Linked DNA regions of Sus scrofa. The protein of the gene in region 2 interacts with the protein of the main gene of each other region in a pairwise test. Links are inferred from orthologs where the notes say so. Each region holds a gene or a part of one and is shown on either strand. Other genes may lie near its edges. The genes, in order: GPN2 and GPN1.

Evidence for each region.
Region 1: the proteins of GPN1 (region 2) and GPN2 interact in binary tests that used the Homo sapiens proteins (3 or more experiments, as listed by UniProt). The link is inferred for Sus scrofa from reciprocal best matches to the Homo sapiens genes GPN1 and GPN2.

What each region holds. Positions count from the first base shown.
Region 1 is NC_010448.4:84,206,917-84,211,480, reverse strand, and holds the start of GPN2 (GPN-loop GTPase 2), read left to right. Parts: upstream 1-1,751; 5' UTR 1,752-2,011; coding exon 2,012-2,422; exon of another isoform or gene 2,423-2,573; intron 2,574-2,962; coding exon 2,963-3,119; intron 3,120-4,564. Other genes in the region: GPATCH3 (GPN-loop GTPase 2), read left to right, coding at 6-127, 235-362, 856-1,072. UniProt on the Homo sapiens protein: Small GTPase required for proper localization of RNA polymerase II and III (RNAPII and RNAPIII). May act at an RNAP assembly step prior to nuclear import.
Region 2 is NC_010445.4:111,562,249-111,566,846, forward strand, and holds the start of GPN1 (GPN-loop GTPase 1), read right to left. Parts: upstream 2,818-4,598; 5' UTR 2,778-2,817; coding exon 2,667-2,777; intron 1,981-2,666; coding exon 1,887-1,980; intron 1-1,886. Other genes in the region: CCDC121 (coiled-coil domain-containing protein 121), read left to right, coding at 2,961-3,460, 4,207-4,598. UniProt on the Homo sapiens protein: Small GTPase required for proper nuclear import of RNA polymerase II (RNAPII). May act at an RNAP assembly step prior to nuclear import.

The DNA.
Region 1 (4,564 bases), on a different chromosome or scaffold from region 2:
CTCAGATGGTGGAGACAAGGACGCCCGAGACTCTGTCCAAATGCGTCTGGAACAGAGACTCCGTGATGGCCAGGAGGCTGGCTCTGTGATCAGGCACCAGGTGGGCACCTTCGAGCGCCACACCAAGGTGAGCACTGTGCCCAGCCTACTGACTCCTCTCTTCTCCTTCCCTACCCCTGTTTCCTTGAGCCCCCACAGGCGCCCCAACTCTTGAGTTCTCTCCCTTTTCTCTAGGGCATTGGGCGGAAGGTGATGGAGCGGCAGGGCTGGGCTGAGGGCCAGGGCCTGGGCAGCCAGTGCTCAGGGGTGCCTGAGGCCCTGGATAGTGATGGCCAGCACCCCAGATGCAAGCGTGGATTGGGGTGAGTATGGCTGAGGGACTTCCCAGGGAGCCCAAGGGAGCCTTTCAACTCTACCCTGGTTCCCCCTGCCCTCTGGTTTTGGCTTAGGTGCTAGAGACTCCCTAGGGAATGACTTTCAAAGCAGAATTAGAAAGAAAAAAAGTAGGACTGGCACTGTTTTTTTCAAGACCAAGATCTCAGGCTTGATAGGATCATTAACTTCCTGCAGGAGTCATTCCCCCAAGTCTGAGCAGTGTAGCCTGGATGATTGCTGTTAGGGATGCAGAGTGGTGACAGTTGTTCTCAATTTTGTCTACTGTTTAAAATGAAAGCGGTGAGGCCGCTAGTTTTTGGTGCTATCTATAGATGGATAAGGGGGCTGGAGAGCAAAGATTTAGATTTAAATGCTTTGTCTTTGGGACAGACTATATACGCGTAGCTATTTCCTGTCCTTTCCAACCCCTTTACTGAGGTAAGAGAGCTGCCCTCTCACTGAGAGCCCTTTTTAATCCAGGTACCATGGAGAGAAGCTGCAGCCATTTGGGCAACTGAAGAGACCCCGTGGAACTGGCTTGGGGCTGATCTCCACCATCTATGATGAGCCCCTGCCCCAGGACCAGGGGGAGTCGCTGCTCCGCCGCCAGCCACCCACCAGTATGAAGTTTCGTACAGACATGGCTTTTGTGAGAGGTTCCAGCTGTGCCTTGGACAGCCCTTCAGAGCCTGAGTGACAGGTCCAGGGGCTTCCTTAATCAGGATCACTCATAATTGCACAGTGGCAGCCCTCTATACGGTCTTATCTAATGCCAAAGCAAAAAGAACTCTGGGAGCAGCAATCTGCCCTAGCCTGTTCAGGATGCTTTTTTAGAACTTGCCTCCTGGCTGTCTACCTCAGGGGCATTTTGACAAAAAGTCCCCAATCCTCCCTTTTGATGAAACGGCTTAATGACCTCTCCCTGGTGGCCGCCTAACCCTGGTCTGTTTGGGCTTGCTCCTGTTGCTTCCCCCAGTACGATGAAAAGCCAAACTGCCTGAGATTACCAGCACAACTTCCCGTGGGGAGGGGTAGGGAGGTCGCCACGAAGCCCAGAAGGAGGGGAAAAGGGACATGGAAGAGGAGAAGATTTGCGCTCTGAAGAGACGGTTTGGGGGCCGGCCCTCCTTCGCCTCTCCCCTTAACTGGCTGGGACCGGGCAGCGGAGAGTCTAAGGCAGTTATCCCGAGTCTGAGACCTAATGGGAGAATAAAGGAGTGTATTACCGAATTTCTCCTCTTCTAACTTGGGCTTGGCGGAAGGTGGGGGAAAACCCTGAAAAGTTCTTCCTGGACCTGCTTACGCCTCATGCTTCGGCGCCGCCACGCCCCTCGGCGCCAAGCTATGTCGTCACTGTAAAGGCGGGACTTCCTCTCCGGCCCTCGCTGTTTCCGGCGTTGTACGGAAGTCGGGTGCTGGTCTGGTCAGTGCCTGGCCATTTGGTCCCCTTACAGCGCGCCTTTTCCAGCTCTCTCTCCTTAGGCGGCTTCCGGGTATCGCTGCCAGTCCCCAGCCAAGTGCAGTTAGGGGAACCCATTGCCCTCGGCTCTTGTCTGCGGTGCGGCTCCCCCCTTGCTTCCTCTCTGAACTTGTCTGCTACGCACTTCCTCTCACTTGTCTGAGCCGTGTGCCGCCCATGGCAGGGGCCGCTCAGACCACGGCCTTTGGGCAAGCGGTGATCGGCCCGCCGGGCTCGGGGAAGACCACGTACTGCCTGGGCATGAGTGAGTTTCTGCGAGCGCTGGGCCGGCGCGTGGCGGTGGTGAACCTGGACCCGGCCAACGAGGGGCTGCCATATGAGTGCGCCGTAGATGTGGGCGAGCTGGTGGGCCTGAGCGACGTTATGGACGAGCTGCAGCTGGGGCCCAACGGCGGTCTGCTGTACTGCATGGAGTACCTAGAGGCCAACCTGGACTGGCTGCGCGCGAAACTCGACCCCCTTCGCGGCCACTACTTCCTCTTTGACTGCCCTGGTCAAGTGGAGCTCTGCACGCACCACGGAGCCCTGCGCAGCATCTTCTCCCAGATGACGCAGTGGGACCTCAGGGTGCGTCTGGGATCTGGCCCATTTTGCGGATGGAGGAACTGAGACGGAGAGGACAGATGCCACGCCCCCATGTCCCATAGCTAAGTATGGGGTAGAATTGCTCTGAAGTAAAACAAGTGTGAATTCGAATTCTGGCTCTACCACTGACTCGGTGTGTGGTCCTGGGAAAGTCAGTTTCATTCTCTGAACCTCAGTTTTCTCATCTGTATAATGAATGTGTTAGTACCCAACTTAGAATTATTGGAAGTATGGAAAGGGTTATGTGGAAAGTGGCATGGTGGTTGTGATTTGGTGGGCAAAAGAAAGTTAAAGAATAGAGTCAGATGCAGTGGGAATTGTACCAGTTGCCTGCAGGAAAGAAATGCCCCATATTTCCTGGGATAAGGAGATGACTCTATTAGAATGAACAGAAGCAGGAGGAGACTAATGGGAAGATTTGCCCTTTGTCCTCAGAAGTCCCCGGTCTGATGGGGAGACATAGGCCCTAATGTTCCTTGCCTCCCCAGGCCACTCTCACCCTGTCTCTTCCTTCCCTCCCAGCTGACTGCTGTCCACCTGGTGGATTCTCACTATTGCACAGACCCTGCCAAGTTCATTTCAGTACTGTGTACCTCCCTAGCCACCATGCTGCATGTGGAGCTCCCCCATGTCAACCTCCTCTCCAAGATGGACCTCATTGAACACTATGGGAAGCTGGGTAAGAGCTCCTGTCCTGGCAGGCAAAAATCAGAGAAGCATCTGGGCTGCACTGGAGCAGAAATCTCAGCTGAAGGTAGCTGCTTCCAGGAACCATGCATGGCCTGGTGGGAGTAGCCACAGGCAGGTCCTGACCCCTGCCCATTTATTTTATGCCACCCTGTGCCAGATATTGTTCTGGGTTTTGGGGGACAAGAGGGCTACAGATGGTTATGTGTATTTTGAAGGAATTAGAAGTAAGTAATGGAACGGGAGTGAGGAGAGTGAACAGTACCATCTGAACTGAGATCAGAATAGTGAGTGGGAGCCTGCCAAGGCAGAACTGTTCCTAGGCAGAAGGACCACTAAGGGCCCTTCAGGAAAGAGCTTTTTGTGTTCTAGGAAAAGGGGGTGGGGAGTTGGGTGAGTCCAGGGTAGCTGAGATAGTGGCTCAGGGAAGGGTGGTAGGAAATGAGGTCAGAGAGGTTAGTAGGGGCCAGAACCTGTACTGTCAAAACAGAGAAGAAAGCCATTGATGAATATGAGGCAAGGGAACAGCATGAACTGGAAAAGTCCTTCCAGCTGTTTTGTGAATTAAAAGGGGCACCTATAAATCCTGTAGTAAGATTTTGCAACAGCCCAGGCAGTGGTCTTGGGAATGGAGAGAAGTAGATAGATTCAAAACTTAACTCCAGAAATAGGATTTGCTGGTGGATTAGACATAGAGGCAGGGGAATTAAGGATGACTCTCAGGTTTCTGACTGAACCAGTGGACAAAGGTGCCATTTATCAAGATGGGAAAGACTTGGGGAGAGGCAAGCTGACAAGGGCATTGCCCAGGGGTTCTAATAGCCAGCTTTTTTTTTTTTTTTTTTTTTTAAATGACTACACCAGCAGCATATGGAAGTTCCCAGGCTAGGGATTGAATGCGACCTACGCCACAACTGCAGCAATGCCAGATCCTTAACCAACAGAGCTAGGCCAGGGATCAAACCCATGCCTCCACAGCAACTCAAGCCTCTGCAGTTGGACTTTTTTTTTTTTTTTTTTTTTTTTTTTTTTGTCTTTTCTAGGGCCGCACTCGCGGCATATGGAGGTTCCCACGCTAGGGGTCTAATTGGAGCTATAGCCTCTGGCCTACACCACAGCCACAGCAACTCAGGATCCGAGCCGCTTCTTCAACCTACACTGCAGCTCATGGCAATACCGGATCCTTGACCCACTGAGCAAGGCCAGGGATCGAACCCAAAACCTAGTCGGATTTGTTAACCACTGAGCCACGATGGGAGCTCCCTGCAGTTGGATTCTTAACCCACTGTGCCACAGCGAGAACTCCAGCCAGGATTTTTTTCTTGCACGATTAGTGCTCTGCTGCTCTGGGGACATCAGTTCCCTAAATAGCATCTCCAGCCGCAAAGTAACCTAGAGAAGAACAGTTGAAATGACAAGCAGTGAGCAGGAAGGGAG
Region 2 (4,598 bases):
TGTCAGTACTGTCTTCTAGCAATTTCTCCAGCTTCACACTGGTTCCCTTCCTTACAGCCAAGGATAACTGCTAAGTAACTGCCAATAAAAATGTTAGGCTAGGAGTTCTCTCAAGCTACAGTAAGGATGGTCTGAGACAAGGAGGAAAGTTATATACAATTTAAATACCTACTGACCACATTCATAGAAAAGGGGAGCTAAATCAAGAAAAAAGGTTTATTTCCTTACTCTTCGTTTACTGATAACAAAAGTAATACAGATAATATTTTTATAAAGGTTGGAGTTCCCATTGTGACACAGTGGAAGCGGATCCGACTAGGAACCATGAGGTTGTGGGTTTGATCCCTGGCCTCGCTCAGTGGGTTAAGGATCTGGTGTTGCTGTGAGCTGTGGTGTAGGTCACAGACATGGCTCAGATCCCTCATTGCCATGGCTATGGCCTAGGCCGGCAGCTGTAGTTCTGATTCGACCCCTAGCCTGGGAACCTCCATATGCCATGGAAGCAGCCTGGAAAAGGCAAAAAGACCAAAAAAAAAAAAAAAAAAAAAAGTACTAACTTCCGGTGCTAATATGAATAAATGCTAGGGATTTATACACAACGTTATAAATGTAATGAGCACTGTTCTACACTATAAATGAAAGTTGCTAAGAGTTCTCATTCACAAGGAAAACAAACTTTTTTTCTATTCTTTAATTTTGTATCTATATGAGATGATAAATGTTCACTAAACTATGGTAACCACTTCAGGAGTATGTAAATCAAATCATTATGCTGTACAACTTCATCATATACAATGCTGCATATCAATTATACCTCAATAAAATCAGAAAAAAATTATGTGGATGGAATTTAAAATTTTAAAAATTGATCTGTCCAGTAATATCTAACCAAACCTATCTAGCAGTCAGCAGACCTTCTCCATCAACTATTAGAGTTCCATCCTTTAAGTGAAACGATGGGAACTTTTTTTCCCAAAACTCTTCCCATAATGATTTCTGCTTCTTAATACAAAGTTTTCCTTTATCAGCACTGGAGTACAAGCTTAATAGAATTAAAAAGAAACCAGTAGGGAAAAGCCTAATACCCAGGAATAGTCTGTGGAGATCAGGATGCCTAGATCCTATCAAGAATCAGGACTCTGCATCATATCCATTCTTAATCTTTTTTATAGTCAAGTCTGATGATAACAGGGAGGGAACGTCTCGCACAACCACATACAGGCATATTTACACACATTTCTCCATGTAACTTTGAAAGCAAACTACTGCAGTAAGCAAATTACTGTTCAAGACACTCATGCTCCAAAAAAAAAAAAAAAAAAAAAAAAAAAAAAAAAAAAAAAAAAAAAAAAAAAAAAAAAAAAAAAAAAAAAAAAAAAAAAAAAAAAAAAAAAAAAAAAAAAAAAAAAAAAAAAAAAAAAAAAAAAAAAAAAAAAAAAAAAAAAAAAAAAAAAAAAAAAAAAAAAAAAAAAAAAAAAAAAAAAAAAAAAAAAAAAAAAAAAAAAAAAAAAAAAAAAAAAAAAAAAATCATCCAAACTGGAAGAAACTATAAAAACAAGGTTTATGTATCAGAGCCTGCTGAAGGATTTACAGCTTAGAAGCCAAAAGACTGACTTTCTGTCACTTCATTTTCCCAAATACCATAGTCTCACACCCTAAAGTCAAAGAGAGGTAATGAAAATGGTAGGTGATAAGGAAAGAAATTTAGAAAGGGGGAAGGAGTAAACAAAGAGAAAATGATCATCGGGAAGAAGCCTAAGGATGCTAGCAAATCCAAGGGAAATGCTAGACAACATCAAAAATGAAAGCATTTAAGCCTGATGGATAGGCTGACAGTTTTCCACTCTCTGAGAAACTTCACACCAGTTCTGGTACAGTTTACTCACCAATATTGGCAGGAAAGGGAACTTCATGCACAGCTGGGTCCAGGTTGATCACATAAGGTGGAGAGCCTTGACTATGCAGATGTCCGGTGAGCCTCTGCAGAGATATGGAGAGAGGGATAGACTGAGACCAAGAGGCATGATACAGAACCAAGAGAGAACTCCCACCCCTCTATCCAACTTACCAGAGGAATTTTGCACTTGCATTTCCCTCTACCTTAAATATCCACCTCTGATCTCCACCTCCAACAATCACTCTCAGTTGAATGCAACGTTTCTTCATCACACATCGTACTCTCCATCAAGTATTGACTAGGGGGGCGGGGGGGACGACGGGGTTTCCATATCTCCCACAAAACTTAAATTCCACCTAAGCGGGAACCTTGTTACTTCATTTCCGCTGTATCCCCAGTGCCTGACACACAGGAGGCACCCCAGATAGAATTCTTTAGGAATCTACACCGAAAGCCTGTGTGCTAGCACTGTATTACCTGCCAGGATTCCTTGTAAGCCTCTACCTTTGAGGAGTTGGCCGACAAGACAATTTCAAGTACGGTCATACCTCGTAGGCACTGAGGGGGCTCAGAAAGAGGCTAAATGAACCCAAGTGAGGATCTGAGAAGGGTTCACCGAGGAAGGAACCGGAGTTGCTGGCAAGACCCTAAAAGCCTGGCGCCGGTACCCTCCAACTCCCCAGAGATCTCCCTCCCTTTCTCCCTGGCCTTACGCCCGCCACAGACAACTTCCACCGCGCCCCTACTCCGCCCGCGCCGTGTAGGTCACCTGTACAAAGGTGGTTTTCCCAGACCCCGCCATTCCCAGCACCAACAGGCACGCCGGAGCCCGGGGACCCCCGGAAGCTTGCGGCACCGTGGCAGCTTCGGGCGCAGCCATCTTGCTCCTGGCTCCGCCCACTCGACCATAGAGACGGTCGTAGCTAGAGAGACTCCCGCGAGGTTCGGGACGCTGAATGAGACTAGAACCAAACCGAACCGAACCGAACCAAACCCAACTGGCCCGGGAGGGCAGGACCAAGGGGAGAGACGTGCGCCTTAGTGTCTGTCCGTCCGGACCCGGATGGGGGCCCAACTAGGGACAGAGACGGGGAGGTGGAGACACTGGGACGACAACTGGAAGGGGTCAGCCCCAGAGCAGCTCACCGTCGTCGGGCGAGGCCTGCTAAGGACACAGCTGCGGACCCCAGGCGGGTGGGAGGACAGGGGACCCCCGGGCTCACACAGTACGAGAGTCAAGAGAGGGCGTTTTCCTGCCGACCCGCTGCGAGCAGGAAACCGAGCCGCGGGAGAACCAGCCGCTAGGGCTGGTCCGGCAGCCGAGGAGGTTAAGCGGCTCAGAGCTGGACAGGCCAGGACCCGGGCTGTATGCGAGCCCCGGAGTTGCTGGGCCGCTCCGAGACCTCCAGAGACCCGTCGGGAGAAACTGGGAAAACCCTCTAGACTGCGACGCGGTGTCCGCGTGTCGCCGGCCCCCGGCTCTAGCGCTGGCTCCCTGACGGCCTCCCCAAAGGAGCTGCGCCGAGGCTTGGGGGAGGAACGTTTGGTTGCCGAGTTTGTCAAGTAGGTACTGAAGGAGCGCATCCCTCCCCTCAAAGCGCCTTGGGCACCCGGAAAGGTGGTGGAAGAGCCGAGCCCTATGCCCTAACTCCCGACCGGCCAGATGGCTTCTGCGGCCCTTCGGAGTGCCTGTAGTGTGCAGTTAAGCCTTGAGATCTGGGTTTCAAGCCCAGGTTCTGCCACCCGCTGGCGGTGTATATTGTGGCCAGGCCACTTAAGTTCTCTAAACCTGTTCTCTCCTCTTTACATTTGAGATACTACCTCGCAGGGTTGCGGTGAAGGCGTAGTGTGGGTTGTAAACTACACTCTCAACGTCTTTACCCTTAGTCCTATTCCCGATGCCGGTGCCTTGTGTGAGGAACATCATAGGTGCTTCCAAATATTTGTTTTTTATTGTTGTTTGTCTTTTCTAGGGCCGAAGCCCTGGTATATGGACGTTCCCAGGCTAGGGCTCTAATAGGAGCTGTAGCTGCCAGCGTATGCCACAGCCACAGCAATGCCAGATCCGAGCCGCGTCGGCGACCTACACCACACACAGCTCACGGCAACGCTGGATCCTTAACCCACTGAGCAAGACCAGGAATCGAACCCACAACCTCATGGTTCCCAGTCGGATTCGTTAACCCCTGAACCATGACGGGAACTCCAGGGCTCCCAAGTATTTGGGATGTGGAGGTACAGGTGTGCATTTTTAAGATTCTTTCCTAACTTTTCCTGATGGGGGAATGTCTCGCTTGTTCTTCCTTCAGATTGGCTGAGGACTCCAGTAGTTCCCTTCAACCAGATCTTCGCTTCCTAAATAATTTTCTCAAGCCAGAGAAGCTAACAAAGAGAGAGAAGAGGTTTAAAGAAAAGGCAATAGTAGAAATGATGAAGCTGGACAAGCAAATCAAAGAAACTCAAATCCGGCTAGAACCTATAATGGGGGATACTAGGCAGCTGCTTGCAGAAAAGGCACATGTCAAGAAGGAAAACCAGTTCTTTCTGGAATACCTGACCAAGCAAACAGAGGAGTGTAAACAGCGAATTGAGAAGCTGTGGAACGACTATTTACACCAAAGTGGGGAGATTGAACAAAAGAGACAAGAATTAGCCTCTAAATATGCAAAGAAAAAATCAGAGCTTAAAACAGAGCTCCTGC